Drosophila melanogaster: one gene and its partner. The protein of the gene in region 1 interacts with the protein of each later gene in a pairwise test. Each region holds a gene or a part of one and is shown in the gene's direction. Other genes may lie near its edges.

Evidence for each region.
Region 2: the proteins of CG14606 (region 1) and Ufd1 interact in a two-hybrid assay, tested with the Drosophila melanogaster proteins (one large-scale study listed by BioGRID).

What each region holds. Positions count from the first base shown.
Region 1 is NT_033777.3:7,209,961-7,226,163, reverse strand, and holds CG14606 (uncharacterized protein), read left to right. Parts: upstream 1-9,080; 5' UTR 9,081-9,145; coding exon 9,146-9,221; exon of another isoform or gene 9,222-9,283; coding exon 9,284-9,401; intron 9,402-9,460; coding exon 9,461-9,572; intron 9,573-9,650; coding exon 9,651-9,781; intron 9,782-10,306; coding exon 10,307-10,659; intron 10,660-10,722; coding exon 10,723-11,135; intron 11,136-11,230; coding exon 11,231-11,428; 3' UTR 11,429-11,825; downstream 11,826-16,203. Other genes in the region: thw (thawb), read right to left, coding at 912-933; CG14605 (uncharacterized protein), read left to right, coding at 6,697-6,806, 6,871-6,982, 7,043-7,173, 7,249-7,583, 7,767-8,179, 8,238-8,435.
Region 2 is NT_037436.4:11,119,372-11,133,867, reverse strand, and holds Ufd1 (ubiquitin fusion-degradation 1-like), read left to right. Parts: upstream 1-10,651; 5' UTR 10,652-10,819; coding exon 10,820-10,946; intron 10,947-11,003; coding exon 11,004-11,827; 3' UTR 11,828-11,886; downstream 11,887-14,496. Other genes in the region: CG32074 (uncharacterized protein), read left to right, coding at 1,548-1,880; nol (no optic lobe), read right to left, coding at 2,606-2,998; NaPi-III (Na[+]-dependent inorganic phosphate cotransporter type III), read right to left, coding at 1-201, 271-773, 844-1,220, 3,319-3,915, 3,988-4,180; mRpL2 (mitochondrial ribosomal protein L2), read right to left, coding at 11,887-12,305, 12,462-12,927.

The sequences.
Region 1 (16,203 bases):
TTGCAACACTAAATTTATGCAGTAAAAATTAGAAAACCTAAAAAACAAAAAATTAAATGCATGCCAGCGGTTCAGAGGCTTTTAATTGCCGTATCTATCTATTTATCTAAGCAAGCCAGCAATTTGCAAATTAATCATCAGCCAAAATTCACCTCGGGCATATTGAAGATTTATTAAAATTGCTCATCGTCTAATTTGGCAAGAACCAATTAATTTTTACATTGATCAGCAATAATGCAAGAAGCAAAGGTAATGCTAATTCTTTAATGGTCGTGACTTTGAATCTTCTCAAGAGCCAACTTGATTAGGTTATTGGTTTTAATGGATTAATAAACGGCTGCAGATCGCAGCTAATACAACAAAAAACACATAGATAACAGGAAATAAGAAATATATTTGAAAATAAGAATTTTATAAAAAGCGACGATTTAAATCCAAACCAAAAAAAACCAATCTAAGGTTTTAAAATTTTAAATCGATACTACCAAATGAAATAGTCTTTTTACTCAGTAAAGAACTTATATTAATTACTTCTAGGCCTCGACAATTATTTAAATGTGTTCTTTTATTATTATTTGTTTTGAAGTAGTAAAAATGCTATTTGCATAACCTACAAGAGCCTCCATTAAATAACCTCTTCATTATGCAGCCAATACATTGAAACTTTACCTGCATCTTGGCATACTGACAGACTAAAAGTGGTAATAAAATTATGTGGAAAATGCATGCCATAAATCTAAGTAAGATGATGCCTAGTGAAAGGCAACAGATGGTGCACACATATGCGTTTTTTATCCATTCATGCGTACGGAATGCGTTTGGCATTTTATTAAAAGCGATTCAGCTGTCGATCTGCCAAGCTGTCGAAATCCCCATCTAGGTATTCTCAGACGCAGAATGCGCTCACTCACCTTTAAGCGGCATCAACATCATTGGCAATGCTCTGAATGTCAGTTTGTGGAGCAGAAACACTCAGGTAAGTCAGGTTAAAAACTGTGGCAGCAACTCAATCTACCACAGCTTCCTTTTTTGCTTTCAGTTTCGTGATTGAAGTAATATGGAGGTTTTGCCGTAAACTTATTTATGACAAAGTTTTCCGCTCTCCGACTGGGTTTTATTCGTAGCGTTTTGTTGTTTCGGGCTTCTTGTGAATATTACTTAGATTGTTGCATATTATTCGTTATTGTTATTTATGTTGTCTCACTATGCTCGATTATTCGGTTTATTATTTGTTATGGGCTAGAGAGGGATCAGGTGGTAATGCACAGAAATCACGATTCAGTTGATGTTTTCGGTAGTAGCACAAAATCACTTCAAGCTGCTCAATGTCTGCACTATAAAGACGTCATTAGGGCGAAACTACCGTTTGGTAATCTCAAAGGAAAAAGGTAACCGATTTGGGACAAGTTCATATGAATGTTAACAAATAAACAAATTGGATATTGAATATTTGATTGCAGACTCAAGCTCGAAGTGATTTTGCTCCCTTGTTCGTGGGCTTAAATCCTTGATTCTTGAAAACTTCACAATAGATCCTTTTTAATTAATATTAAATATTGAATCACAAGCGTCCTTTTAAAAAATGTTTTGCTCCTTTAAAATTACGTAAACGTTATCTAAGATCTCAAGAGTTTGAAGTTTTGGCACAAAAAGCACTTTATTTTTCTTAAATTTATCACATCAGATTGGTTGAAAATACAGTAAGAGCCAGAGCCAGACGAACAGAAGACGTCTTCACCCGTACGATATTCACATTTGAATGTTTCAATTGGCAAATGCGGCGTCCAACTTTAGTAGCTGAGCGGCCCGCAGACTCGAGCTCTGTTTAGCGAAAACGCTCGCAAAGCCAGCGCAAAGACAGAAAAAGCAAAACCACTCATCGCCGCCGAACCGGACGAACCTACCGCTTCACGAAGATCGCTTCCACATCTTCCTCAATTCCCAAAGAAGCCCGAAGAGTGGCCCCAATCCAAAAGCAGCTACAAAGTAAAACAAAAGCAGGGCGTCTTTGCGACCGGTCCAGCGATCAGCTGATCGCCGCGATCTCGAGAGGGGCGTTCAAAGACCGAAGAGAGGAGCACAAATCTTCGGGTGCCGATGAATTTAACAGGGCCAGATCGGCAGAAGAAAAGCTTAACATTTCTGTTAAGACCATGTAAATGTTGTGTTCGTAGCTTCTATCTTAGGAATTTAATCAGCGCATCATATGTGTGAAATGTGTCTATAACGTCTGCTTAATATTAAAGAGGGTTTTTTTTGGCGAATATCTGTTTTCAATTCTGGAGAAAAAAGAAATTAATACAATTATATATAGCTATTCAGTTTAGCATAAGTATTGGTATAAAATAGTCAAAAATTATTAGAAAATGTTTTGAGTACATTTTGGATTTAAGCTGTATGCACAAAAGTGCGGCAAAGTTGAGGTTATGCGATGTCATCATTTATACAGAACCTCCTTAGTGTTCCTGTAAACTAATTACACAATTTAAGTTAAGTATTATTATTAACTTTAACGATTTCCTTTCCATGTTGATATGTATGTGTATCTCTTTATACATATACATCATTGCGTATACGTAATATTTGCAAGCCCTCAACTCATATGACAGCTAACAGGATTAGCCTCCTTAAAATTGTATTCCATAAATTGCAAGCAATCGAATCGATTTCCGACAATCAGCAAGATGACAGTTTGGAAATCCATTAGCCTTTAATAAGGAAGGGGAAGCACTTGTAGGGCTTTTGGACTGGAAGCAGGGAAGTGGATCGGGAATGGGCCGGTGAATCGTCAGTGAAGAGTTGGTCGATGGCTCGATCGCTCGTGGAAGGCATAACAAACAAAATCGCAAATTAAAGATTCGAAATGCTCGCAGTGACGACTTTTTGACTTGGGGCGTTTCTTGGCTTGTTTCTCGGCTTCTATTTTCTGGCCAGCCGCCAGACAATGGAGCACAGGGGAGACAGCTGAAGAGTTGACAGTGGACAGTTTATATTATGATTTTGGGGCAGCGTCTTTGAAGCCCTCCAACTACCAACTCCTAGCCAGGAGTTGCATAATATCGTTGTTTGATTTTCGCTGAATTTATCTGCGTCTCTGTGGCTCGGATGCGACGGCTGCTTCCTTCTGCACACGAAGGCAGATGCAGATGCCGATTCATTGCGCCTGCGATTATGGATTCGGTGTAGCAAAAATGCTCAAATAATGGCAGCCGCAAATATTCCCACGAATCTCCCAGCCATGAGGCATCGCGCTGGCAACAGTAGCTATCCAGCATTGGATCACCGCCAATTGCTGGCGGTTCATGTAAAATTAACATTTGATTCTATTCAAAATCAGAAGTGATGGTCGTAATCACCATCCAGTGGCGCTTCTGCGGCTTAACGTGACTTTAATGGCGGGTTGATTCTGGCTCCTAACTGGTTAGTTTCTTTCATTAAAAGATATTGACAATGTTTTGTTGCTTGCCCCTTGCGAATGACATTGAGTCTGGGGCTCTTCTCATTAAAAATCGAGCTGCATGCAATCATAATAAATTGCCCAATAGATAACTAACAAACGATCTGACAGCTATAAAATCATAAGTTGACGCACGAAAAAAAACTTTGATTATCCATTTAATTGAAGGACGGGTTCTCAATTGAGTAGATTTAAGAATATTCCAATTAAAAAATATTTCAAATAAATCAAAAAATATTACCAGATGAAAAGGGATATAAAAACTTTAAATGGATGCATACTTCAAAATAATTGAAAACTTTATTGGCCATAGAAAGACGTATCTGTATAAGTCAAGGACTCAACCTTTTGCAGGAAAAATCAAATCATTGCCACAACTATTTAATTTTGTAAGTCAAATCTTAACACTCCCTTGGTGAAACTGTGCACATTGAGCAACAACCTTAAAAGGTCGTTTTTCCATTCTGTTGAAAAGTAATTCAGCAAATTCGGTCGGTATAAGTAGAGTCGAGAGCCCGGGTAAAGTGTCAAATCATTGTAGAAGTATCTAAGAAGCCATCTAGCCTATATTTAACCCCAAACTATCCATCACAGAAGCATGGATGGTGGGCCCTCGTGCAATTGCGGCGTTGCCTTTGCCTTTTGTGAATTGAAAAACCATTTAACTCCCGTTAATTTTAACGCCCGTTTTCTATGCCAACTCAGTTAGATTGCCACACAGTCGCCGAGCCGAAAACAAAAGCGAGAAGCAACCGAAATACGTAATGCAAGCGATAATTATTGCCTACAGGCCACCAAAAACCTCTCCGAACAACCAGCAAAAGACCTACCTCCCCCCACCCAAACGGAAAAAATAAAACACAGAAGCCTCTGTGGCCTAGTCGCGCAGCTGATTGAAAAGCGAAGAAGATTTGCATAGAAACGTGCGATTTTCGGCATGGCTAGGGGCCCCAATCGTCTCGGTCTCAGTCATGCTGGGCCACCAAGAGTATCTGCTGGATACTCTGGGTGATGCACTCGCACATGGCTCTGTCAACGTGCCCGCCAGCCTGAGAACAATACTAGCTGCCATCAATTACTCATCCATTCATGCCGTCATTCATTTGGCATTCGGCTTTTGGCCAAAGCCTCTGTTACCTCGCGCGAATGCAGTAGCCACATTTTGTTGATTTAATTGTTAACTTTTTTTTGGGAATAGCTGTCTGATTTTTTGGGCACGGCTTCTTTTATCTTTGTCCAATTTGCTCACATTTTTGGCCCTTTTCCATGGGAGGAGTCGCTGAAATTATGTTATATGTGACTGGTGAGGCTGCTTTTCATATTATTATTTTTTTTTTTTTTTTGTCTAAACCCACATTTGTTAAGATCAATGCTGAAGATAGCCCCATGATTAATCTTCGCAAGCTATGTTTTGTGTAGCCATGTTAAATGTTTTATGTGAAATACAATTTATTAAACATAAGCTTTTATGTTCAGAATCCTTGAAAGGTTCTCAGACTTTCCAAATTTTTTGTAGTACACGTATTTACCTTGAAATCAAGAAGATATGCAATATGATAATACTGTAGATGAATACGCATCTTAATCGGATATAAATTCACATTTATTTATTAAGCTATGAGAAATGCTCCACTTGCTCTTTATAAGATTTTATACATGATAGAATTTTTGGTGCACCTACAATTGGCTGATAGTCACTAGTCCATAAATGACATCAATTTATGTTTCTTTCAAAACATATATAGTATAAGTATAAGACGTAATTCGTTAAAGCCGCAGATAAATCACTCTTAATCAGACAATACAATAAGGTTAGTTAACTAACCTGTTGGAAAGAATAGAACTCCAATCTCGCCAGCATTGAGTGCATCATCCATACGGAATGTTAGCTAAACCAGATAGGCGGGTGAAAAGTAATGGTAATGCCCGAAATCTCAAGTCCCGAGCTTGTCTGTGCTCTGGTGGCCAATTTATCGCCACTGACAGCTGAACAAACGAAAGTGATATCTTAGCATTCGAACGTAGTGAACAATTGTGTGCTAATGACGAAAGACAAGCGGTTGGCCACCAGAGAAGCGAGCATAGGTACTTATTGCCTTGGTTGTGTCAAAGTGCCGGACTGCACAGCATATAATATGGTCACGGACTGCAGGCCGAGGACTGCAGATGCAAATGACACAGAAAAAATTTGATATTTTTTATTGAGCATTTTACAAACGGCACAACAAACCTCAGGGCATGACCTCCGACCGTGCAGAGCCCCAGCCACGAAACCCGACGACGACGGAGTCTTCCAAAAGGAATCACGATGGGCCCAATCGTTTTTGTGCATTAAATTGCAACCGAGATTTATGTAAGCCGCGTCCAAAGTTGCCCAGCTGGTAGCGCAGGAACCCCTCATTATCGATCGATATAGGCGCCCAGACGAGACAGTCGATGAGAGACTGACTGCCTCACTGAGTGGGGCCAGTGGAACCGCATATAATAACTTGATCATAGGAAAATCATTTATTGTGACACGATCGCCAATTGGAAGCCGATAAACTTTGTCTTGCAAGGAGATTCTCCCCCACTCGCCATTAGCTTGTTGTCATGCTGTTTGATTGCCCAGCTTGTTTGCCTTTTCCCTCCGCTGATTAATATCTCTGTGGGGCCTAATTGTGCCGAGATAAAATAAACACAGTTCCGCGAATTTCATGATTTTATTATTTGTTTGCTCGACTACTTCGGTATCATAATCTCTATGGGTAGAGCATTTCCTCATCCACTTTGCTGCCATTTGGGCTATGAAGTAAACATAAGATAAAAGCGAATTTCATGCGTTTGCGTTTTTTTTTTTGCCTCTATTAAGGGGTTTCACCACTCTAATGATCCAAAAAGTGACCGGAATCTATAAACTACTATAAAGATCTAAAAACCTATTGCCCAGTCATTCCAAACATGAGTCATATTTACATTGTCATAACACTCAAACTGAATTATTTGTTTTGGTTATTCATAGGTCAGCTAGTAAATTGTGCGGTTCTTTCTTAACATAGGAGTAAAGCTGTCAAATCGAGGGAGTCCATTCTTTATAATATGAAGAATATAATGCTTTCTAGTGTTAGGCAACGATAGAATATGAAAATCTGTAGCAGACGCAACCGCTGGCAGTTGCTTTCCACCATGATACGTGGGTAAGAATCCGGTGGTCTGTTTGATCAATCGCTGATACCTGATGATTTTTCCCAGTGTGCATTATGTCGTTGACTCATGGAATATCCCTAGGATGGTTCTCGCCCACTCTGCCCACTCTCATCTCCGACAACAGTCCAATTGGCCATCCAATTGACATCAGCGAGGTGAAGTGGTATGTCAGCAATGGAAATAGTGAATTTAGGTGTAAATTTAACTGGCACCATTGAGATTTCCAGGATCGGTGCTTCTTTCGGAATTGGGTGTCTTATTTGTAATATGGTAATTTGCGTTCCAGTCTCGTATTTCGGAATTAAGAAGTGCATGTACTTTGTGCCCCTACCAAATATCGTAAATATAACTTTGCCTTGGCTTAACGAGCTTCCAAAATAGCACTGCAATTCTTTACAGCTTAATTGGGTCTTGATCTACTTCGCAAGCAAATCACTGTATTTTTATGTGTGTCGCGTCCTTTTGGGAATTTCTGGTGGCACTTTGGTAGTTTGCTTTCCTGTATTTATCGCGGAAGTATCTGATAATAGGTAAGTCATTCCAAAGCCAAACTACTTGCCAAGTCGGATAATATTCAGACTAGTTTAACCACAATTTTCATCAAGCGTTCGTGGAACTCTGGGCTCTTTTTTTATGATGACACTCTGTAGTGGCATAACAGTGGGATTTGTGTTAGTATATTGCCTATCCTACCATGTGCTTCCGTGCGTCGTCATTTTCCTGCCCATTCTATATTTGTGCCTCATCATTCCCCTTCCTGAGCCACCACAGGACCTACTGAAACGGGGTCATGAAGAAAAGGCCGAAAAGTCCTTTTGCTTTTACAAGAACTTATCGAAGGACCCAGCGCAACAGGACGATAATAAAGCTGAATTTGACAAATTGCGGAATAAAGTTCTCGCCAGCGGCATAGCTGAAAAGATTACTCCTGCTGATTTCTGTAAGTTTCAAATTGATAATACATATAATGACCAATTTTTGGAAATTTTCGATTTGATACTATCTTGTATTCAATATGTATTTGAAATATAATACATTTATTTTAGTATTATCATTATCATCATTATTATAGAAACAAATGTTCACCTTACAATGACAAATTTGTATCTTCAATTCAATTCAGTTAACAAGGTCTCGGGAAAAGCATTTGGACTGATCGCCGTTTTACTGCTCTCCAATCAGATGTCGGGATCCTTTGCCATCTTCAACTATTCGTCGACCATCTTCGAACAGCTCGGTAGCAGGATGGAGCCCAATCTATGTGGCATATTTCTGGGTGTTGTGCAAATTTTTGGTTTGATTAGCGCCGTTTTGCTGGTGGACCGCGTGGGTCGTCGCCTCCTTTTGATCCCATCGCTGGCCGGAATGGGTTTGGCTGAGCTGGGAGTGGGTCTGCTAAAGTCCTTTGCTTCGCAGGACTTTTTACACAACAATGGTTGGATTGCACTTACCCTAATGGGCATTGTGTCCTTCACGGCGTCAGCGGGCATAGTGGCTCTTACCTTTGTCATTATAGTTGAGCTTCTGCCCTTTAAGGTAAGCTCGGCTTCGTTTATTTGTTAAAGGATTTCACTTAAAACTCATGGCCTTGCAGATTCGCGCCCCTGGCATCTCCATCAGTATGTGCGGACTCAGTTTATCCGTATTCATTGCCCTCATCACTTATCCCGTCCTGATCAACGATTATGGAGTGCATGTCACAATGTTTGTGTCGGCGAGTTTCTGTCTACTAGGTTTGGTAGTTCTGGGAATATTTTTGCCTGAGACCAGGGGCAAGAGCATTACCCAATGATGGGCTAATTTCTGATAAGTGTTAAGTAGAACCAGTACTTATAAAAATTCACGTAGTCTAGATAAGTTATAAACAGCCATAACAAATAAAAGAAAGTGTATGTCTAGATTTGGAATAAGATATTAATTAAGTTGAATTCATATTCCAAAACACCATGGAATCTCTTGGAGTTATTTCCTAATAAATGTCTTAGTTTTATAATCTTCCTTTAGAATAAAAAAAAGAGAAAATGTATAAAAATTCATAATAAATGTGTAAATGCAAATAAAATCCAAATACTGTTTACAATGACTTCGCCAATCTTAAGCAAATATTGTCACCTTACTCATACAAAGTTATGCAAATTTACATAGACTTATTGCTGCTATCCAACAGTTCAACGGTAAGATTAGCCTGACTGCCAAGTGTTTTTATTTTTTTTTTTAATTTACAGACTTCCCCAGACCTCTTTAAATGGGAGCGCTTTGCATTAATCAGCGGTACTACGCTGCGACTACTTAAAACTTATCTAATCTGCAACAATTTTACAGTCGTCATTATTGTTTACGATTGTCAGAAGATTGGAAAGTTGGCTTATCTGGCGTGATTTCCACTACATAAACTCTTGTCACTCAAAATAAAAATCCTCAGTTGGCACACGAGCCGCCAAGTGGTTGATTCGGAATCCAAAAGCGAAACATTTTCAGGAGTCCTAAATTAAATTAGGCAATATGACTTATGATCCATCGCAGAAGTTAAGTGTTTTTAGTGTGCGGTACCGATGGCAATTTATTGCCACCATGACTGGTGGGTGAAAATAGAAGGAAGGAGCCACAGTAGAGCATTTAATAAAAGTTGACTAATCCCAGTACATATTATGACACTGACCCATGGAATTGCCGTGGGATGGCTGTCTCCCTCTCTTCGACTGCTCGCATCCGACGAAAGCCCTTTGGGGGATCCCCTGACCATTACCCAGGCATCCTGGTAAGCTTGATACCCTTTCAGTGGAAATCCCTTTGGTTGATGTTTTTTGATGTTCTCAGGGTTGGATCACTTATCGGCCTAGGCTCGCTGACCGGCAATATAATCTTTGGACTGCTACTCGATCGATTGGGCCGTAAAGTGTGCATGTATTTCCTGGCCATACCCAATATGGTAGATAAAGTTCACATGTTCTTTAAGGGGTTTCCCAAGAGCTTGAGTCACTTCAAGGCTTTCTTTTAAATTCGCTAGATCTACTGGATCCTTATCTACTCCGCCCAAGACGTTACGTATCTGTATGCTGGTCGATTCCTGGCGGGAATGTCCGGAGGTGGCTGTTACGTCGTCTTGCCCATATTCATAGCTGAAATAGCCGACAATAGGTAAGTCGCGTCATTTTTCTAGTGACTGACAACATTTCGGATTAAGGGTAATCTATTAATTATAGATTATTTCAAGTTTTACGTGCAATGATAAGCTCAGACTACGTTCATATATTCAATTATATCGGCGCACGTTTGTCTACGTAATAACGATTAGATATAGGTCTGGGAATTATTGAATGATTGGAGTGAATTACTTGGAACTTAGCAAGTGGGGAAAGAAATCTATCTAAGCCATTTCTTTTTATATTAACATTTAACTTGAGTGTGGTTGCGAAAGGTCATTTGCAGATTTTAATAAATTTGTGCAGAAAAAATATATTAACTGAATGTTTATGTTCAATTTTAGTTTTATTCAATTTTTCAAATCATTTTGGCATCATTTTTGTCGATTGTCAATATTTAGTAGATATTTATCCATTCATTGGTTTCAGGTCGTAATAAGTAGTTTGAATGTAGGATGATTTAAGTCCAAAACATTTATTATTTTAATATAGACTTAAATACAATGCATACTAATTTAAGCGTTCGGGGAGCGTTATCGTCCATGGCCATGATGTACGTTAGCATCGGCATGATGGTTGGCTTTACATTAGCCTCGTATCTCCCGTACTATCTGATGCCGTGCATTATCGTTGCTCTGCCGGTGGTGTTTATGTTGTCAGTTATTGGCTTATCGGAGACACCGCAATATTTGTTGAGACGAGGGCGCGATGACCAGGCCGAGAAGTCTTTCTACTTCTACAAGAACCTGACACCACCCACTTCCTCCGACAAGGAAGCTTCTCAGCATGACGCAGCTAAAATTGAGTTTGACACATTTCGGCTTCAGGTGCTCAGTGGCGGCGTCACCGAGAGCATTTCTTGGCGGGATTTCAGTGAGTAAAATACAAGTTATTTTTACCTACGGTCTGATTAAATAATTGTCTCTACTCCTGCAGTTAACGTGCCTACACTAAAGATATTCGGCCTCATCTTTGTACTGATCATCTGCAATCAGCTGTCAGGGAGCTTCGCCATCTTCAACTACACATCGCACATTTTTGCTGAGCTAGGCAACAATCTGGATCCAAACACCAGCACCATTGTGGTCGGAGCTGCACAGCTGGTGGGAATCTTCAGTGCTGTCGTCCTAGTGGACAGACTGGGTCGTCGTGTTCTGCTCCTCACCTCAATGGGTGGAATGGGTTTGGGTGAGCTGGCAATTGCTCTGCTCAAGTGCTTCGCATCGGATGAGTTTCTGAACCAGAATGGATGGCTTCCTTTGGTGATCATGTGCCTTGTGGCCTGCATTGCTTCACTAGGAGTTATAGCCCTGATCTTCATCATCATTATTGAGCTGCTCCCAGCTAAGGTGAGTGATATGAAAATGAAAATAAAGTTAATTGGAAACAGGAATTCTCAAGCTGTAGCTTCATCAATCTATCTTCTTTTCCTTACCAATTGCAGATCCGCTCCATTGGCACCTCCTTGAGCATGGCCACATTTAGCGGATTTATCTTCGTGGCTCTAAAGATCTACCCCACAATGATCTACGATCAGGGCCTGGCTGCCACCATGTTCATGTCGGCGGGCATGTGCCTATTCGGATTCATTGTCTTGGGACTGTTTCTGCCAGAGACCAAAGGAAAGCTGATGACGCACTGATGACATCAACTTCGGGCCCAGCGGACACGCCACTTGGTTGCTTTTGTTGGCGGTGTGGCCCATTGCATAAGCTGCGGGATTCAAAATGCTCCCATGTCAAGAGTACTCACTCAATAATTTGTGGCACAATGGCGGCATCGGCTCATTCTGAAATCTTGAACTTAATTCAATTTGTGAGCATTGCGGTTTTCTTTCGGATTTCTGTACATAGAAATTTAATTTAACAATTTGATTGGGAGAAAGTCTCGGGTCTGTGATCTTGTGTTTGATAAGCGCGAAAATTGTAAATGAATAGGCTTAAGTCACCCATAGCTTTTACTTAAATAAATTTGTATTAGATTTAAAAACAATTAGTATTAGAATTTAAAAACAATTAATAGTTGTTTAAGGAAACTAGATTTGATGTATTTGCCTTTTCTTCGTTTCAGTGGTTTTGCCAAATCCATTCCTGCTATCATACAGTTTTGTTCGCCAACTAAGTGGGCTATATTACGCAGTGATAAGCCTGCGCGATGTAACAAGAAAACTCTTTTTCTTAGCCTCTTTCCTACGATAACTCCGCAGTGCAAAATTAATGAACTCGCAAAAGCCTAGAAGATAAAGCCAGCTGGGGCAAAAAGCCAGGCAGCCGAGAGATCCAAAGAGCCAAACAATGACTCATAAATTCAACACAATAAAAATTATTTATTTTGCTTCTACGACGGGCACTTTTCGACGGGCACTGCAAATGCAGTTTCAGTGCAAATTAAGCGCTGCAAAGTGAGCGAGGAGAAAAGAAAATTTGATCTCTATGACAGGACACACAAATCTCGCTCAGATCTCCAGAGACGATGCCAGCTCAAACAAAGCCCAGTTGGAAATGGAGTTGCTGCTGGAGCTGGAGATGGAGCTGAAGTCGAAAAACCTACAGAGCCACAAATCTAATGCTCACATTTTTAGTGGGGGGAGTTTCTTATTTCGGGAGTCCATCCACAACCGCATCCACTTACCCACCGACGTTGCATCAAAATGCAGTTTCATAATTTTCACACGTTTTTCTGTCACTCACTGGAAATGGGATCTAGTCGACCTGCTGACAGGCGGAAATTTGTAACAACTCCAACTTAGCTGCACTTATTGCAGTTGGGCTAAGTGCAAATGTGGCGGCAGACCGCAATTAGCCGCTGCTGATTAAGTTGATAATCAGTCGGGCTGATGGGTTGAGATGGGATGGGATGGGTCAGCCCTGGATGAGTTGTCGGAAGTCTGTGGTATGGTGGCATATACCTCAGTGTGTGGGCCACTGAACTGTTGCAATCACTCCCGCCGAATCGAAAGAGGCCGAAAAGTTGGACAAACAATCGCGACTAATGCCAGCAATTGCTCATTGTTGCGATTACGAGCATTTGATTTGTGGCAACACGGATGCCAATTGTTTGGCTTTGATCCGCTGCAATCGGCTGAAAGAAAGCCGGGTGGGCAATCCACATCCATTGTCTGCCCTGCATGACCATTAACACGCAATTTTCCATTTGACCGAAAAGTCAGCCAATCTTGTTGCTGTTCCACGGTAGCAACTCCAATTTCGGCCTCCATAACTCACAATTAGCGCCAAATGCCGGAGTTCCACTCACCTAGTGATCTCTATTGATAACCAAACCGAGATGACAACGTCGCAATTGCGGGTGAAATTATTTCTCGATTTATTTATTGTGTTTTTGCGAAAATATTGAATTCATTATTGTTTGGTCTTTGAGTTGATATTGTGCGTTTGGGGCAGTCGATTTGGTAATTGTGAAAAATGGGTTTAAATATTTATATGCTCTAATTTTGTGAATGGAGATTCGGGCTTACCGAATTCCGCATTTCTTTTGATCACGAAACTTATACAATCGCTGGTCTTCAATGATTAGGTTCTTTTTTTCAGGGAGTTTGCATAATAGCAGATTCGCAGCTCATTGCCCTATAAAAACTAAAATAGTTTGGACCAAAGTTGACTGAACTTTAGACAAAATAAAATACACAAACACCATTTGCATTTTAGACGTAGAAATACAACGAAAATACACATTGACATTCTTCCAAAAAACCTGACTTGTCGTGTGAAAACTTTATGGTAAATAAGGCGGCGGCTGTCAGCAGAAGTTATCTAAAAACACCTGAAAACACCTCACACTCATATATTAGCCATGATTAATTGAAAGGTCAGAGATGGTTAGGTCAAGTGAAGTGCGTGAAGCGGAGATAAATAATTTCATATTATATTATATATTCAGATACCAAGACATCAATTCTAAAAAGCTGCATTCAAATTACTTGTGACTTTTTGGAAGGTATTCCCAGTAAATCAAAGAGACCTTGTCAAGCAAAAGGAATCCACAAAGGATTAGGAATTAAATAGCAATTTATAAATGCTAGAAAAATTAATTAGGCACCACACAAATTAGGTACAAAAACATATTTAATTAGCGCTTCCTGTCAGTGGAGCATTTATTACCCGTCTGCCAATAAAATAATTAATAAGAGTACCTTTGCCCCGCCAACATCGACTTCAGCATCTTAAAAAGGTCATTAAATCATCCTCAACTGACGGTTGCCAAGACAAAGCCATCATTATTTCAGAAATGCTGGCCTGGCCTTTAAACATGAATTATAAATTTATGTTAGAACATTAATTTAATGCCTCCGCCACTTGGACGAAAATTTCGCCACATCTAAGATTTATGAAATCCAATGAGACCTGTTATAAAATTAGCCACGATCAGCAGCTAAAAGAATGGTCAAGTGTGAGGATAGGATGCGAGGGCAAAAACACCAAACACGACACCAAAAACACAAAGATGAGGAGACCTTTCTATTTTCTATAATGCTAATTTATGTTAGCCGGGACAGCTTTATTTCTATAATTATTATGTAAGATCGTGCAGCCACCATACACGTAGCAGAAGAAGAAAACCTATTAATTAGAAATGATCAAAAAAGACGAAACATGACGCAATTTTGCGGAATCGAAACTATTATATAACTTCTGACCCTGTAGTTTTAGGCTTTGGATATGGTTAATTCTTGTTGGCAAGGTAAAAGTGAAGTAGAATTAGAAGTATCAGGTGATGACTGATTGATTTTAAGAACGTATGTAAGTGGTGAAAGTACTAAACGAGGGTTAAAAGAAAGTGAGTTTTAGCTAGATTCTTTGTGCTAGGTGACTGGTAACTTCCAACTACTTTCAATATTAAGGCAAATAAACGAGTTGTAAGTATCTTTTCAAGGCAGAAGAAGGGTTCCAAGGCATCGTTACCTCGGACTGAAGCAATTATGTTGAGTGCTGCAATGGCGTTGTAAGTGTGCCTGCCGTCGACAGTGGCAAGTTGTTGTAAATTTGGTTATAAAACAAACACAAATGACATTATTCGCACGAAGACAGGACGGCAAGTTGGCCGAGCTGCCGTTGCAGCTGTTGCAGCACGACTTTCTTTGGATCTTCGCAGCAACTGCCACAACTGCAACTGCAACGGCAACAATCAATTCGACAGCAACGCCGACGACATTTGCGCAGGCGCAGGCGCCTTTGTTGCGCTTCAGCTCCAACTTCCGGAAATCACGCTGCTTGTTGTAATAATGTTTTAGCTTTTCTCGGCTCTCTGCCTTTTTACCTACGGTTTTGGCCAAGGAATGGGTCAGGTCGGATAGGTAAACGTAATGTGCACGCGAGCGAAATTACAAAATGCGCACAGTTAACGTAAAATTTGTTTGGCTAAAGTTGTTAAATTTTTTCAATTATGCAAAAATAAAATTTTAACACAATCTTGTGGTGGCGGTGGGTGAAATGAAGACATGAAGGCAAAGGCACGAAGCCAAAAGCCGAAACTAGTTGCTAGTTGCTACAACCCATCGAAATGGGTTATGAAACTGGGCAGGCATTCACCTCATCTAAAGGGCAAAACTTGGCAACGGTTGAAAGGTAACGGGGAAGTCCCAGATTACTGGCCACATCTAGAAAAGAACATTTATTGATATAGCTTACGGTCTAAAAGAAAGCCATGACGAAAGTAAGAATTCATACAATTCAAAACTCATAGCAACCATATCTAAGTGAAACATTGTAATACAACAAGCGAGTATTTTTACGCAAAGAATTAATAACTATGCCTTTGCATTTGATTTGGGAAAATTGTTCAGCCATCTGGTCAGCACTTAATGATTTAGTCAATAAAGATTCCCAGAATATGGCTACGATTGTGCAGATTATAATACCTCAAATAAAAGTGAGAATATAGCAAAATACGGTAGAAAAGCTAATACGAATTAAATTGATTGCCGACTACCGAATATACGCCAAATTGACACCTTGATTCTTCCTCAGACCTGGTCGCTCACCAAGTAGGTGGCTAATGTCAGACAATCGTTTGGCCCTTCCTCGGCACTTAATTCGTGGCGCAGAGCCGCGCGCTGCAATTTGAAAAAAAATTCTTTTGATGATACATGATACAAGCGAGCTAGAAGAGCAACCGAAATGGCCTTCCCAAGTGGCAATCAATTCTGGCCGAGCTGTGCGACTCCAGAGCCGGGTATTCACAGCCCGGGGGCATGGAACACTCTGCACGTGTTGACTCCCAGTTGAAGTCGATGATTTAGCTCGCCTCGTTACCTCAACGCCATTTGACCCCGCAGCAATTGTGGTAGCCACGATTCGTCGGCGGTCTACCAGACTGCCACTCGGTGGCAGTGATGACAAAGGTACCAAAGCTCTACCCAGGGTACTGCAAAAAAAAAATAGCAAAATTATAACTAAAATC
Region 2 (14,496 bases), on another chromosome or scaffold:
CCATCATCCATGGGCGCAACTTCGTTATGGGTCTCCTTATCGGTCTGATCATTCGGCTGACTCTTCTTCTTGCGACCTGATGCACTCACATGACCCACAAAAACCACCGAACCGACCTTGCAGTGAGTAGTCGAAATGGGCAGGCCAATTTTGCTGGCCAGCAGTACGGTGATGGCAGCTCCGACTTCAATAGTAAAGCCACTGAAAAATAGTTGAAAGTGAATGTTCTATTTGTGAAAGGATAAGGGAAATTAGGAACTGAATACTCACGTCGATGAGGTTATTTTCGTAAGGTCATTGCCAATGGTCTCGATGACTCGTCGTCCCCACAGCCAGAGACCCACAGAGATGCCGATGCCGCCGTAGATCAGAATATAGATGGGACTCTCGGCCTGCTGCATAACCGATCCCTCGCGATAGATCATATAGAGGGCAATCAGTGGGCCGATGGCGTTGCTCACATCATTGCCGCCGTGCGCAAAACTGCCAAATGTGGCTGTCAGGATCTGCAGAAACGAGAAGAGCATTGAAATCTCCGGAGTCTCCTCGGCGCCACTGGTTCTTCGTCCACCGCCCGTCGTTCGTTTCAGCTCCTCCTCCTGCTCATTCAGCGCCTCCTTGCTCTCGATCAGAGGAACCTTGCTGGAATTGGGCGATAAAGTGGAACTGATCATAAGATCAAGGCTGCCGCCGCTCTCCACCACTTGAAGGTTGTTATTTGTGGCTTTGGTCGATCCGGTTTCCAAGTCCGTGCCAATGGAGTTCGTCTTGCTCTGTAAGTGGAAAGAATCGAAGATTAGGCAAAGCAATCGAATTAGCTAGCTAGCACTAAACAGGTAGTACCTTCTGCTCCTCCTTGGGCGACTGCATCCGCTTGAAGCACTCCTGCAACTTGCGTCCATTTTGCTGCTGCTGCTGTTGTTGCTGCTGCTCGTCGATAAAATTCAGACTGGTAATCGTCAGATCCGTGTTGTCCAGGCTAGCCTTGCCCAGCAGATCCTCAGCCTTTTTGATCAGCTGCGGATCGATCTTGTACTCCTCCCCAAGCGCATTGTTGTTCTTGGCCGCCAATCCGAATGGAGCCAACTTAAAGGTCCTCGGCGAGTTGTCGCTCAACGAGACCAGCTCGGTTATTTCTGCGATGGCAGGCAGTGGCTTTCCTTCGCTAACCAGCGACAGGGGACGACGCTGCTTCTTGGGACTTCCCGACGGGGAAGATTCTGGAAGAAGAATTCAAAATTTATATTGTTATTAGCCAAACATTTGTTGGAAGAACAAAGGCCCCATTATTTGGTTAAAGTTTAAGTCGCATATGGAATAAGGTTTCTAATTTTTTTTATGAAAAACCAATACAAATTAGCTACAACCTTTGTATAAATAACCTAGATCCAAAAAACTTCCACATGGTGAATTGCGACTTAGCACGCACAAATAAACTGTTAGCTTACGCAAACAAAGAAAACCTCTTCCACTAATTTCCCTATAAATACTTAGGCTTCAGCTAAACAAGAGCACATTAGATTCAACACCTAAAGAATCCATTAGAGATGCGTTCGCAGCCAACTATCTTCCTTGCCATCGCGGCTTTCGTTTCGACTGCCTGGGCACTGACGATTGATCCCGCCACGGTCACTGTTTCATCGGTCACTATTCCATCGGTCACTATTCCTTCGGTCACTATTCCGACCACTGATACAGACACGTCCACCACTTCGCCTTCGGCAACCGGAAGCAGCACCACCGTGACTCCCACCACCAAGAAACCAAAGAAGAAGTCTACCGTTGTCCACTACAAGAAGAAGACCCAAAAGTCGAACAGACGCCGCAAGTTCCGCCACTCACGCGATGGCAAGAGGAAGAACCGATCGAGTTGGGAATAAGAAGGACATCTCGAACACATTTTGAATACCGCAGACCCTGAAGATCTACATGAACGACCCACAAGAACAGTTTTAAGCCAATTGCTAATTTACTATTATTATATTGTTATTATATTACTTATTAAGAAATTAAATGCTTGTTTTATAAAAGGAGTTTCAAGATTTTGTCATTTAAAAGTAGAATTACTAAAATGCAAGCTAAGGTCCATTCATTCATTTTTTTAAATATCTGAACCCGTATACACGTATATATCCCGTTCATAATCTATAATTTGATCTTTTCATCTGATTTATAGCAGAGTTGTGTCTTAAACTGCTAAATATTAATATTTCCTGACGCTTGCCCATTTTAGTTTAGAAAAAGTCAAAAAATGTAGTTAACCGCAGAAACTAAAGTTTGTATCAAAAATGCAATGCAATAAGCATTAAGTCTCGACTGTCAGATACCCGTTAAAAGCAAAACTTTCAATCTTTGGAATGACTAGAATCTTCATCCTTAAATCAGTTGAAGTTCGACTAGTGATTCAGATCGAGAATATACTTCATAGGGTCGAAAACGATGCGATGTAATGTAGGCATTCTTTTGAGAATATCATAAAAAGTCATTTAATCTTGAGGGTAATACAGGAATAAGAATAATAGAAAATGAAAAGTTTGGGAACAAAAGCCAAGACATGTCTGGCCAAATCTGTTATGCCTGGGGTATTCGCAATGGGGTCTCTACTTTAGTTTCGTCGGGATCTCTTCTTGCGGTCGCTGCGCTTGCCTCCTCGCGAGTGGCGGATCGTGCGGCGTCTGCCCGGCTTGTGGACCTTACTTTTGTGGTGGACAACGGTCTTCTTCTTCCCACTTCCTTTCTTGGAGGTGGGAGCCACGGTGGTGGGTGCAGTGGTGGGTGCGGTGGTGCTGCTTCCGGTTGCCGAGGGCGAAGTGGAAGTGGTGGGGGAGGTGGAGGTCGTGGGAGACGTCGTGGCTGGATCAGTAGCCGGAGGTGTGGTGGGATCAGTAGCCGGAGGAGTAGTCGGATCAGTGGCCGGAGGAGTGGCAGGATCAGTCACTGCCCAGGCAGACGAAACAAAGGCCACGATGGCGAAGAGAATAATTATCTGCGATCGCATCTTGGATTATATGTAGTGCTCTGCTTGATGTGACTATTGTACGTAGTCTGGATGAAACCAGAGTATTTATAGTAAAATCGGTGGAAGATGTTTCAGACGCGTTTTGCTCAAGCAAACAATCTTCTACATTATTGTTTGATCACTTGCGATTGTTAATTCGAGGTTGTTCAAACAACAAATTAAGCATATTTTTGATGCGCAAAGATTGAAATAGATGTTTGTGTTTGTGAATATCGTGTTATTTTAACGAGAATATCCCACTTTTTACCTATATCTACATAAGAATCGACATTCGCTTTACGTATCACTAAATAACTCACCCACGGAGTCCTCGAAATTAAACTTGACAGGATTCTCGGCCCGCAATCGTTTGGCAATCTTGCGCCGCTGCAAAGGCACCACTACCAATTGCGTAAGCAATGCCACCAGCAAAGAGAGACCAAAACTGGCGGTCAGTGCTATCCAAGTGGGTATGTTGTCCATGTAGAGCAGCTTGGGCCCGTCCAACACAACGCTGATAACGTTGATGAAGAACGTTACACCGTAGAAGATGGGCAGCGATCGAAATCCGGCCTTGAGCGGCTCCTGGGCACGTAGGATGAAACGACGAATGGCCAGGAAGAGCAGAATGCTCACAATTCCACTCAGCACCGGTGAGATGAACCACGATCCGACGATTGTGCCCAAAGTAGACCACTTTAGGCCCTGTACACCGCGCGCCACTAGCGAAAATCCAATGGTAGAGCCAACGATACTGTGCGTTCCCGAAATAGGCAACTTCAAAAAGGTGGCCACCAGCAGCCAAACGGCGCTACTGGCCAATGCGGCCACGCAGCCCAGCATCAGAACCTCCTCGGCGCCCTCGTATAGGCCAACTTCTAGGATTCCCTTGCGCATGGTATCCGATACCTTGTAGCCTGCCGGAATATGAATATAATATCAATACAGTTGGCAAATTAAATTCTAATATTTTGCATTTATTTTCTTACCAATCAAAACGGCACCCGAAATTTCGCAAATGGTGGCCAGCACGCATGCCTGCCGGATGGTCAGAACACCGGAGCCGACACTGGTGCCAAATGAGTTGGCCACGTCGTTGGCACCGATGCCAAAGGCGAGTACGAAGGCGATTAGGAATCCGATGACTACCATCCAAAGTAATTCCGGCGCAAAGCTCTCCATTGTTGCCGACAATTTGGTTTTCGGTGTTCAATGTTAGTCAAAACTCTTCGGCTCAAGCCAATCTCTAAACTCTCTCAACTCTAACTAAATACTGATTTCACTTCTTGCTCCTCGAAAAACTAAACTCAAGTTGTATTTTATTGTATGGTGCGGATTTAACTGGGTGGATGATGACTTGAGTTGTGCAAAACAATCGTTTGAAACTTATAAAATACAAAGACTACGTAACAAATGAGGGTCGAAACAAAAATCCAAATTGATTAATAAGTGAGAAATTCTTTTCAAATATTCTCTAAACAGCCATATTTGCGCTTAAACTTCATTGTCGTTATTTTCATAATGAAAATGGGGCAACAATTCGCCGCTTGGAACTGCGAAGATGCGAGATACTTAGGTGACTAATTACCCTGCACTATAAACACTAAACCCTTCGGTTTGGAGCCTCTATCTTCAAATGATGATGCTGATGTTGTGATGATCAGCTCTATCATAAATTAGGCAATAAATAAATAAAATCCTACAAATAACCCTGGGCAGGACAAAAAAAAACACCGAAACGAAACGAAACGAACAATAATCCAAATTAAAATCCTTCTCGTGCGCTGACAAATTCCTCCTGCCAATGGAATTCGATGCTCAGTGTCGGGAAGTATTCACAGGTATTCCACACTCCAAACTAACTCCACTTGTAGACCAGTTTAACTTCTGGGATATCTTCACTAGCAATTGTTGTTTTTTCGTTCTAAGATTGAACGAATGCTGTTGATGTTGTGGAGTAAGTGGATAGTGTGTTGTTGTGTGTTGGTTTGTTAATAATTAATTATAATAAGTTTCTTGTTATGTTGAGTAGGAGTTAAGAGGTGTCGAGTTGGTAAACTGTAAAACAGATATGTATATTTCCAAAATTTTTTCCCAAAACAAATTAGATAGAAATTATTCTCACCTGACGTTTGGGGTAGCACAGTTGTTTCAACCATAGAGAATTATTCACCATGTCTGAAAATGGGCGAAAAATAGTTATTGCAACTCAAGCAGAACTCAGTATCACTTGTTTTTTAACTTAAGTAAACCACTAGCAAAAAACTGAACCTATCCGACTAAGCACACAAAACGATTTGAGTAAAATAACTGATTCAATACCAAAAATCAAAACGAAATCCAGTTTAATCTGCTGAAATTTGGTACCTAAAATCACTCTGATTTCCAGATACATTTTCAATACCTTTCGACTTTTAGATACTTTTTAACCAGTAAAATCCAGCACACAGCCATTCGGTGAGTTTTTCAAATGAAATCCAATTGTTTGTTTCTAATTTTCATTCATTTGTTTCTTTTCCAGATTCAACTAGACCCGCGTGGTTCGATCTTTTTCAAATGAAAATTCGCAATTGAAATTGTAATTGCCGCTGGCTGTTGTTATTGTTATTATTGTCCAGATTGTTGTCATCAAATGCAAATGCAGCAAACAATTCGCTTTCATTGTTTACAATAAAGATGACTGCGTAATTTACTGATGTAACTTAGTGTTTTAAATAAACTACAGTGGATGAAATCCTAAAGGATTTAAATTTCTTATATGGTTTTAATGTATATATTTTACTATTAGCAATTAAAGGAATCCTAACCCATTAAGTTTATCAACTTTGTTTTCGGTCGTAAAGTAACTATAAGTGCTTTTTATGAACCATGTGAATTGACATATGTACCAAACACATCGTAAACTTTTTAACTATGACCTTATGGGATCCTTAAGAAACTGTGGACTAAACACAAGAAAATAGCATATTCCTTTCCCACCGGCCAGCAATACCAAGACCCACATTTGACCAAGGCAAATAAACAAAGAAAACCTCAAGAAAACCCACCCACAAAAGCAAGTGGCAAGGCAAATGACGCCAAGAGGGCGGCGGTGGTTGGTGGGTGGTGCTGGGGCTAGAGGTCATAGGGTTGAGTTTAGTAACCAGGACAAAGGCTGACACCGCGACTTGGCAAGGTCGCACCACGCTTAATGCCGACGCTTCGTTGCGAAATTTCCATATTTGCGTGCTTTGTCATCGCTTTAGCCCCAACACCCAACACCCACCACCCAGCACCACCCACCGGGTGCACATTTCCATTCCCACACAATGGAAATGGGTAGGAAAAAATCATGAGTTTGTGGTAATCACCACTCCAATTTAGCGGCGTATTTTGAACTTTTGAGCTATAAATACGCAAACACGCAATTGTGCATAGTTTGCCAGCAAATGCAAATGCAAATAAATGTTTGTTGATTGTGAAATATGTATGTGCAATCGATTGAACAGATGAACAAATGGAAATTTATAGTGATGTTATTGCTTGCCGGTTAATACAAAATTGTACGATTACTTATGCACAAGACTAACTAAAAAATGGAATTTTAGTTGATACATTTAAATTATTTGAAAGCGCGCCTTTTCATATTTCAATCGAATGGCAGTAAATCAATTTAAGCCCATTGGATAATTACGGTTATTGCCTGGCAGGTGGGCAATAATTTTGTAATTGGAATGAACCGTTAGGGCCGAACAGATCGAAGTTCAGGGGGAAGGGGGTGGCTGGAAGGCGGGTGAATTCTACTGCCATTGCATGACATGGAAATGGAATTAAAATGGATTGAATGCCAATTGCAAAACAACAACAGATGGCACAGGTCTGAAGTGCACTCGAAACAAATACATAGTAAAAGTTATAAAGAAGCTCCTTTTAAACTATAAAGGTATAAAGTATAAAGTATAGAGTATATAGAGCATTAGAATTTTTAGCTTTACATTCAGATGGTGAAATTCGCACAGCGCACTTTTCAATTTTCTACAGTTATTCAAGTTACTTATGAATTTGAACGTTCAAATCGCTTGATTTTTTAACTTTGGAACACCTTATCCTTCAATATATTATTTCTTTCACTATTTTCCAGCAGAAACTTGTGCCAGTTCATCTATTTACACTGATTATGTGCACTTTCTTTGAGTTGCACGGATGCACCGGGCGCGTCACTGGCGACCTTGACATTGCCGCCTATCAACTGCAATTGCAACTGGCTCTGCAAACAGTAAACTGCTATTAATATTGATTTAATTTGCCGCAATGTTCCAAGGACGGATGAGGTGAAAAAACCGACGGACAGGGCGAATTATCGCGGCCCAAAGCGGGCATTTTCTGCACGCTCAGTGAGTTCCACTTGTTGTTTTCCTGAAGCCGCCAGCCAGTGAGTTTGGGGGTGGTTGCTGCCGCAAGTTCAAGGTCGCACCACCGTCACACAAATCCGGGCTAACTCGTTTCAAATTAACGCCACCCGCTCCAGTGAGTGTCAAACTGTGCAGATGAATCAGCCCGTTTTCCATTCAATGGGCTAAAACCAAATCCAATTGGAAACGCGCTCAGGTGTGAAAGGGGATGCCACTCTAGTAATTAACGAATAACTGCAATAACCCAAAAACACACGACGCTGGGTTGTGCATGTGTGAGAAATTAGAGCTCCAGGAAGTACAATAACTTTAAAAGCATAAGTTGCACTTAAGCTATTGCAATGTATGATAAAAAAAAACATGATTCTCGTCTTTTTCTACCCAATTGTTTAATTGAAAATATTTAATTTTTTAAACATACTTTAAGCAGACTTCTATTACAAACTTTCGCGCTCTCTTCACACACATTAAGTTCATATATCTTAAGTGTTTAGCTGTCGTTATTATAGAGCGACCACTGTACGTGTGCCAACGTTTCTAGCACGTGTGACTGTACAAGTTCTGGAAGTAAACAAATGTGAGTGCGAAGCTCGTTTGGCAAATTTTACCTATTGCTCTTATTCTTTCATTCTCTCTCCATTCGACGACCTTCTTGGCATTCATAAAAGAGTTTAAACTGTGAAGCTGTGTTGTTTTTATTGGGTTTTTTCCATCACACGCGATCCGAAAATGGAATCACGAGTTTGTCGGCTGATATTCAAAACGTGAGCACAAAAAAAATATGAATAGAACGCTTCATCGAATTTCACATATGAATGTATGAACATATACATATGTATATACATACATATATGTATGTACATATGTTTGTGCTGTGTGCCTATAGAAATTCCACTCCCATCCAATACATTTTTTTGGGCACTTGGCAACCGGCAAATATGGCTATTGAATATTTCTGGGAACTGCTTGAAATCGATTGAATTACTATTTTCAGTAGTAAAAAGTAGGTAAAGCTAGGAAAGCCACTTGAAAATACATAATATTGAAAGCTAAGCAGTTATTTTAAACTATTTATACATAGTTTAATTGGGTACTAACTACCTCATGATAAATAAATCAAAGGGGTAGGTGGTTTATCTAAGTTTCTTTATAATTCTGAAGATATTTATATAAGCAGGTGTTCTCACTTGCATGAATAGAATCTCGTTGAAAAGGGGACATTTCTTATAATTTCTGAACGGAAATCCAGAACTTTAGTTTGAGAGACACTTGACCAGGTGCCATCCGAGCGAAAGATGCATTGAATCGGAATGGGAATCGGTCCACTTTGCACTCACACTCACTCCGTGCGGCGCCGAGTGTGTACACGCTATGACCTTGCGGGGTTGCTGCCACCCACCGCCCACTTTGAACCCAAACCAACTCATTCATGACCCAGAGCAATCCAAAACGAAATCCACGCCGTGATATCACGTTGTGCTGAAAACAAAAAATGTATAATTTCTTTGCTTGACGTAAGCGCAAAGATCTGATGTTCGGAAATTACGAAAAACGAAATGTTTTTTTTTCTTCGAAATTCTGCAGCATGCGTATACACAGATTTTTGGGAATTTTGCTGCTTGTGTCGTTGGGCTATTTTAAAGTTTAAATGCTTATCGGAAAAGCTGCTCCATTTCGTTGGCTGTGCGCTTGTTAAATTTAGTTCCCAGACGCAAAAACTGTACGTACACAACAAGATGCCGGAGTTTTTCTTCTACCCTTAGTACTTTGCTCATCACAGTGCGACTTGGCTATAAACGATTGTATTCTAATTTGAATTTTCAAAAGAGCAGGCGATTTCATTTCACAATATTTCTTTAGCTTTGCAAAGCGTAAGCAAGTGTCATGATAACGAAAAGTGGATTTTCCCAGAAATATTTATAAATAATTTTGATAAGTTTACACAGAAAGTAAACTAAGTTTTTAGCGGAAGTGCAATATAAACAACATTTTGATTCTCGAAAAGAGGTTATCTTTAAAATCAAAAACAGAAATCGTTGTGAGTCCACTTATAAGTAAAAACTTTTGGAAACTGGAATATGTTGGGCCATAGAGCGCTTATTAAATGAATTTACAAAAATTTGCAAGGATGCAACTGACGCCTTAAGTTAGGCTTCATTATTTGAAGCCAGCTTGTGAGTCACTGGAATTTCATATTCTCTCGATTTTAATACGTTTTACATGACAAAGACAAAAGATGGGTAAATTTCACAATAGAGGGGGGTGGGGCTCTTTGTTGTGGGGAAGTTAGGGCGAGAGCGAAAGAAAGGCGAAGAAAGTGGGGAGCATGATGGCGAGGGGAGTGTCTGGAAGCTGCCAGAAGAGACAAGAGAGCGGGAGAGTGCGCATCCTCTCGCTCTTTTCACCTTCTGTTCGGTGTTTCTGTTGTTGTTCTTGTTTTTGGTGTGGCTGCAGCTGCGAAGCAACAATAACAACCACAACAGAGACTCGAAAACAGCTGCACACGAAAACGGTGGCTGTCAAACTGTTTTGCAAAATTTAAAATGTAACTGTACTTGGCAAAAACAATACATTTTGCTGTATTTCTGTATGTCGTAAAAGATCTTTCGACCTGGAAGCTGGAGAACACTTTTTCCAGCCACTTGGCCACCACCCCGCCTTTGAACAAACCAACCAATCGATTGGCCAGCTTATTGATTTTTCTATTCGAACATTTTGCATTTGTTGCTCGTTTCGGTCTTTTGCTTAGTGTGTTTGGTTCGAAAAAAGTATTGGCAATCATGTGGGCATCGACATACACACTTTTTTTTTATCACACCCACGCGAAAAACACGCGGCGCCAGCCAGACTAAAAGGATACAGGCAGCATATCCTGCACACACACACACACACGCGCGCACAAAAAAGCTCGCCAGGATCGAGTGGTGCAGTTGACCAGCAAACCGCAGCTGCTGACAGCCAATTTTGAGTAGCGGAAACAGTTGGAGCTGCTGCCCCGAAATGGGTACTCACTTGATCAGCAGCACTTTTTCGAATCAATATACCCGTCTATTCAATTTTTTTTTAAGCGGGACGAAGTCGCGCGCAACCACCGGCTTGCTGGGTTTGTTAGAGATGTGCCGATAACTCGCCACTGCGATAGCTCGAGTTGCTACTTTTTGTTGTACGCCACGCGCTTGGGATTTTAGCGAAATATGCGTGCCACAACTTAGCTTGTGCCGCAACCCCACACAGTGCTGCCACCTGTGGGCGAAAAAGTTACGTCTACATGGTGTTCTGGTCACACTGCCCCCGCCGTGACAAACAAAATAGAAAAAAAAATAAAACAAAAGATAAAATTTTAGCCTCCCCCCTTTGAGAAATAAAGGGTCATTTGAGGCAGTTTAAATCGAAAAGAATCCATAGGCACGGAGAGCCCAGCACACATAGAATGTTCCACTTCAGCGGCTTCAACATGATGTTCCCGGAGGGACGCAATTTTCATGCCAACTACAAGTGCTTCTCCGTATCCATGTTGCCAGGAAACGAGCGAACCGACGTGGAAAAGGGCGGAAAGAGTGAGTTACGAGTGTAGGCTGGACAGAAATTATGTGAACAACACATTCCATCCACAGTTATTATGCCTCCCTCGGCGCTGGACACGCTCACCCGCCTGAATGTCGAGTATCCAATGCTGTTCAAGCTGACCAACGTCAAGAAATCGCGATCCTCGCATGCCGGCGTACTCGAGTTTGTGGCCGACGAGGGCAAATGCTATCTACCCCACTGGATGATGGAAAACCTGCTGTTGGGTGAGGGCGACATACTCAACATCGAGAGTGTCTCGCTGCCGGTGGCCACCTTCTCAAAGTTTCAACCGCACAGCACCGACTTCCTGGACATCACCAATCCCAAGGCGGTGCTGGAGAATGCATTGCGCAACTTTGCCTGCCTCACCAGGGGCGATGTCATAGCCATTAAGTACAACAAGAAGGTCTACGAACTGTGTGTCCTGGAGACAAAGCCCGGCAATGCAGTCAGCATCATTGAGTGCGACATGAATGTGGAATTTGAGGCGCCAGTCGGCTACAAGGATCACTCCGAAACGCAGGCATCGGGCTCTGGGCAGCAGGGTGCTGCTGGAACTGTTGGCGGCGAAATCGCTGGAGCCACCAACGCCATACTCGAAGAGGTCGTGGAGACCTTCAAGGGTTCCGGCGTACGTCTCGATGGTAAGAAGAAGAAGGAAAGCCAGTTGGAAACGCCGGTCGTTAAGAAGGTGCTAGCCCGCGGCGTTCCAGACTATGATTTCCAGTTTGGACTCATCCGTTTCGATCGCAACATTCGGCCTATCAGTGATAGAAGCCAAGAAGATGATGCCGTAGCTGGCAATGCGGACGCTTCCGATGCGGAGAGCTTCCACGGCACCGGTTTCTCGATGAAGAAAACGCGCAAATAGCTCTGTATCTCTAGTTCTAGTTATATATTGTGTGACACATAGAAATTAAAGGAAAAACCTCACAGGGGCAGCGTCAACTTGATGGCCTCCTCCTTGGGCGGAGCCGGTGGCGATATGGTGGTCATGGGCGGCAATCGGCGTATCTTGCGTCCGTGTTTGCCTTCCTTGCGCTTCCACAGACCGGAACGTGGTCGATTGCCCATCTCCCGCATCCGCTGGGCACTGCCCACATGCTCCTTGTTGTGTTCCGGGTTGGACAGGCGACCAACCGTCGCCATGCAGGTGCGCTGGAAGGCGAACTCCCGCTTCGAGGGCAGCTGCACCACCACCTTTTCGTCGAACTTGCGCAGAATGGTGCCGAAGGTGCCGGCGGCATGGATCAGGTGGCACATCTGGCCGGGGTTCTTCTCCAGACAGTGAATGCGTGTGCCCACGGGCAAGGCGCCCAATGGATAGGCATCGCCTTCGTTGGGACGCACTATGGGATCATACAAAAAAAAAAAATTATATTGGCATAACTGGTTGTTTCAGAGCCAGTAAAATTTCTAGATTCCATGCTCAGTTTAAGACTATACTCAGAGGATTACTTAGAAAACGTTTAATACTCCCGATGAGTAACAGTAAGTAAATTTACCCGGAATCCTAGGAATAAAGCGCGAGGTCTTGAGGATATCGCCAGCCTTCATGTTCTCGGTGGCCAGGATGTACTTCAGCTCATCGCCGACGGCAACCAGGGCCACTTTGGCGGTGCGACAGCCATCGCGTAGCACCTCGAGTACCAGTTCCTCCTGGGCGCCCTCCGTGGGACCATCCCGCACCCATTTAACCCAGCGATACTGCTGTTTGATGCCTCCGCCAATGCCCTTGGCCACCAAGCGACCGGAGACGGGATCCCGACCAGCCAAATGGGTGATCTTCAGCGGCTCAACGGTGTACTTCTCCGGAAAGTGCACGGTTCGTCGGAATTGCTGTCCGGCACCAGGTTTTGGTTTCTCCACCACTTTGGTTTTGCCGCGCAATTGCTGCAGAAACGCCGGCGCCGTGCGAAACGGCGTTTGTATAGTCAGCGTTGTGCTCAGCAAACGTGTTACACTTTGCATTTTCGATAGTTTTATTTGAAAAATTAAATAGAACGAAAATATATGCAAACTGTTACAAAATCGAAATGCGGCTGAAAACAGCTGTTACGCGGCGTTGCCAGACCACGAACGGGCCATGCCTGATTTCGGGCGCTAGCGTTGCCAGCATTTTGCTCGAACTGATCTCTTCTTCTTCTCCTTCACCGCGCTGAAGCAATAAGAATCGGGAAAACCGCATTAAAATCGCTGAAAAAGTGCACAAATCGGCTTTAAATTATTGCCCAATTACTAGTGTTACGTGCATATCGAGAGATTTCATAAATTGCAACAGCCAACGATTTTTTCCAACAAGGTACGCAAAATAATAAAAATAAACAAGACGAACAGAAAAATAATATACACACACAAACACGCAGCGAAAAACGTGTTGTGTGCAAAAAAAAAAGACTGAAAAAAAAGAACAACAAAAACAGTTCGAGTTTGATAACCAACGGCGAAAATATAAACAGCAAAAGAGAGAGCGAGAATTAGTAGTAATAAAAATCAATAGCAGAGTGAGCGGAAAATCAGCTTAACCAGCTAAATGGCATATAAATAAATATAAGGTTTTTATTTTGGAACACGCTCATCCAACACACATGCACACGCGCATACACGCACGCACACACACAGGAGTAAAGGTATGGGTGGCCTCAAGTGTGTGTACATATTTTGATGTTAGGTGGGAAAAAAGCGGGCGGCAAGTTTACGCAATCGCCGAGCGAAAAGCAAAGAGCAGCAGCTATACGTTGTGAAAAGTGTGCTTTTTGTGTGTTTACAAAGAGACAAACAAGACATCCGTCGTTTGTATGTACGTGCCTATGTATGTATGCGCAGGTGGAGTCGGTTGCTAGCTGAAAAATCAACGAGCGGCATTTTTTACGCATTTCCAATACGCCACATACATATATACGTGCGTCGTTTGCGCGTGTGTGTGTGTGGTTGTGTGTATTTTGGTGTTTTTATTTATTTATTGTGCTTCTCTTTCGTCGTTTGCCGTTACGAGTGATGTATGCATGTATGTATGTACTCGCCAAATCTATATGTGGCTGTGTGTGTGCGTGTGTTTACTTATATGACCGTATGTATGGGCGTTTGTTTGCCTTTTGTTGTTCTCGTTAATTTTATTTTGGTTTCGTTTTGCATGTTTATGCATGCAAGCTCGATCGATTTCGATTGATGGGTAGCCATGTGGGGCCTGCCAGTGCGAGAGTTCTCAATCCGTTCATGTGTGTTTGTGTCGCGAGTTCCAGTGTATGTGCGTGTGTTGGTGCCAAGTGGAACCAAACAAGTCAGAGAGTGGAGCAGTGTTGCCAACGTTCGTTAATAACCGCATTAAAAAAGAAGTCGCCTTTTTTTGCTCCCCCTCCGCCCCTTTGCCAGAGAAAACTCAAGATACAGATCGTTCTGCAAAAGTTTTGGTTGCCATGGAAGTTCAAGTCCCTCTGTGTGCACTTATTTTCTCCTAAAACACTCAAACAATGATGCATTTGCGGCGAATTCCATAGTTTGCCATTTGTTGCACAGGTGCATAATAAAGGGTTTTATAAC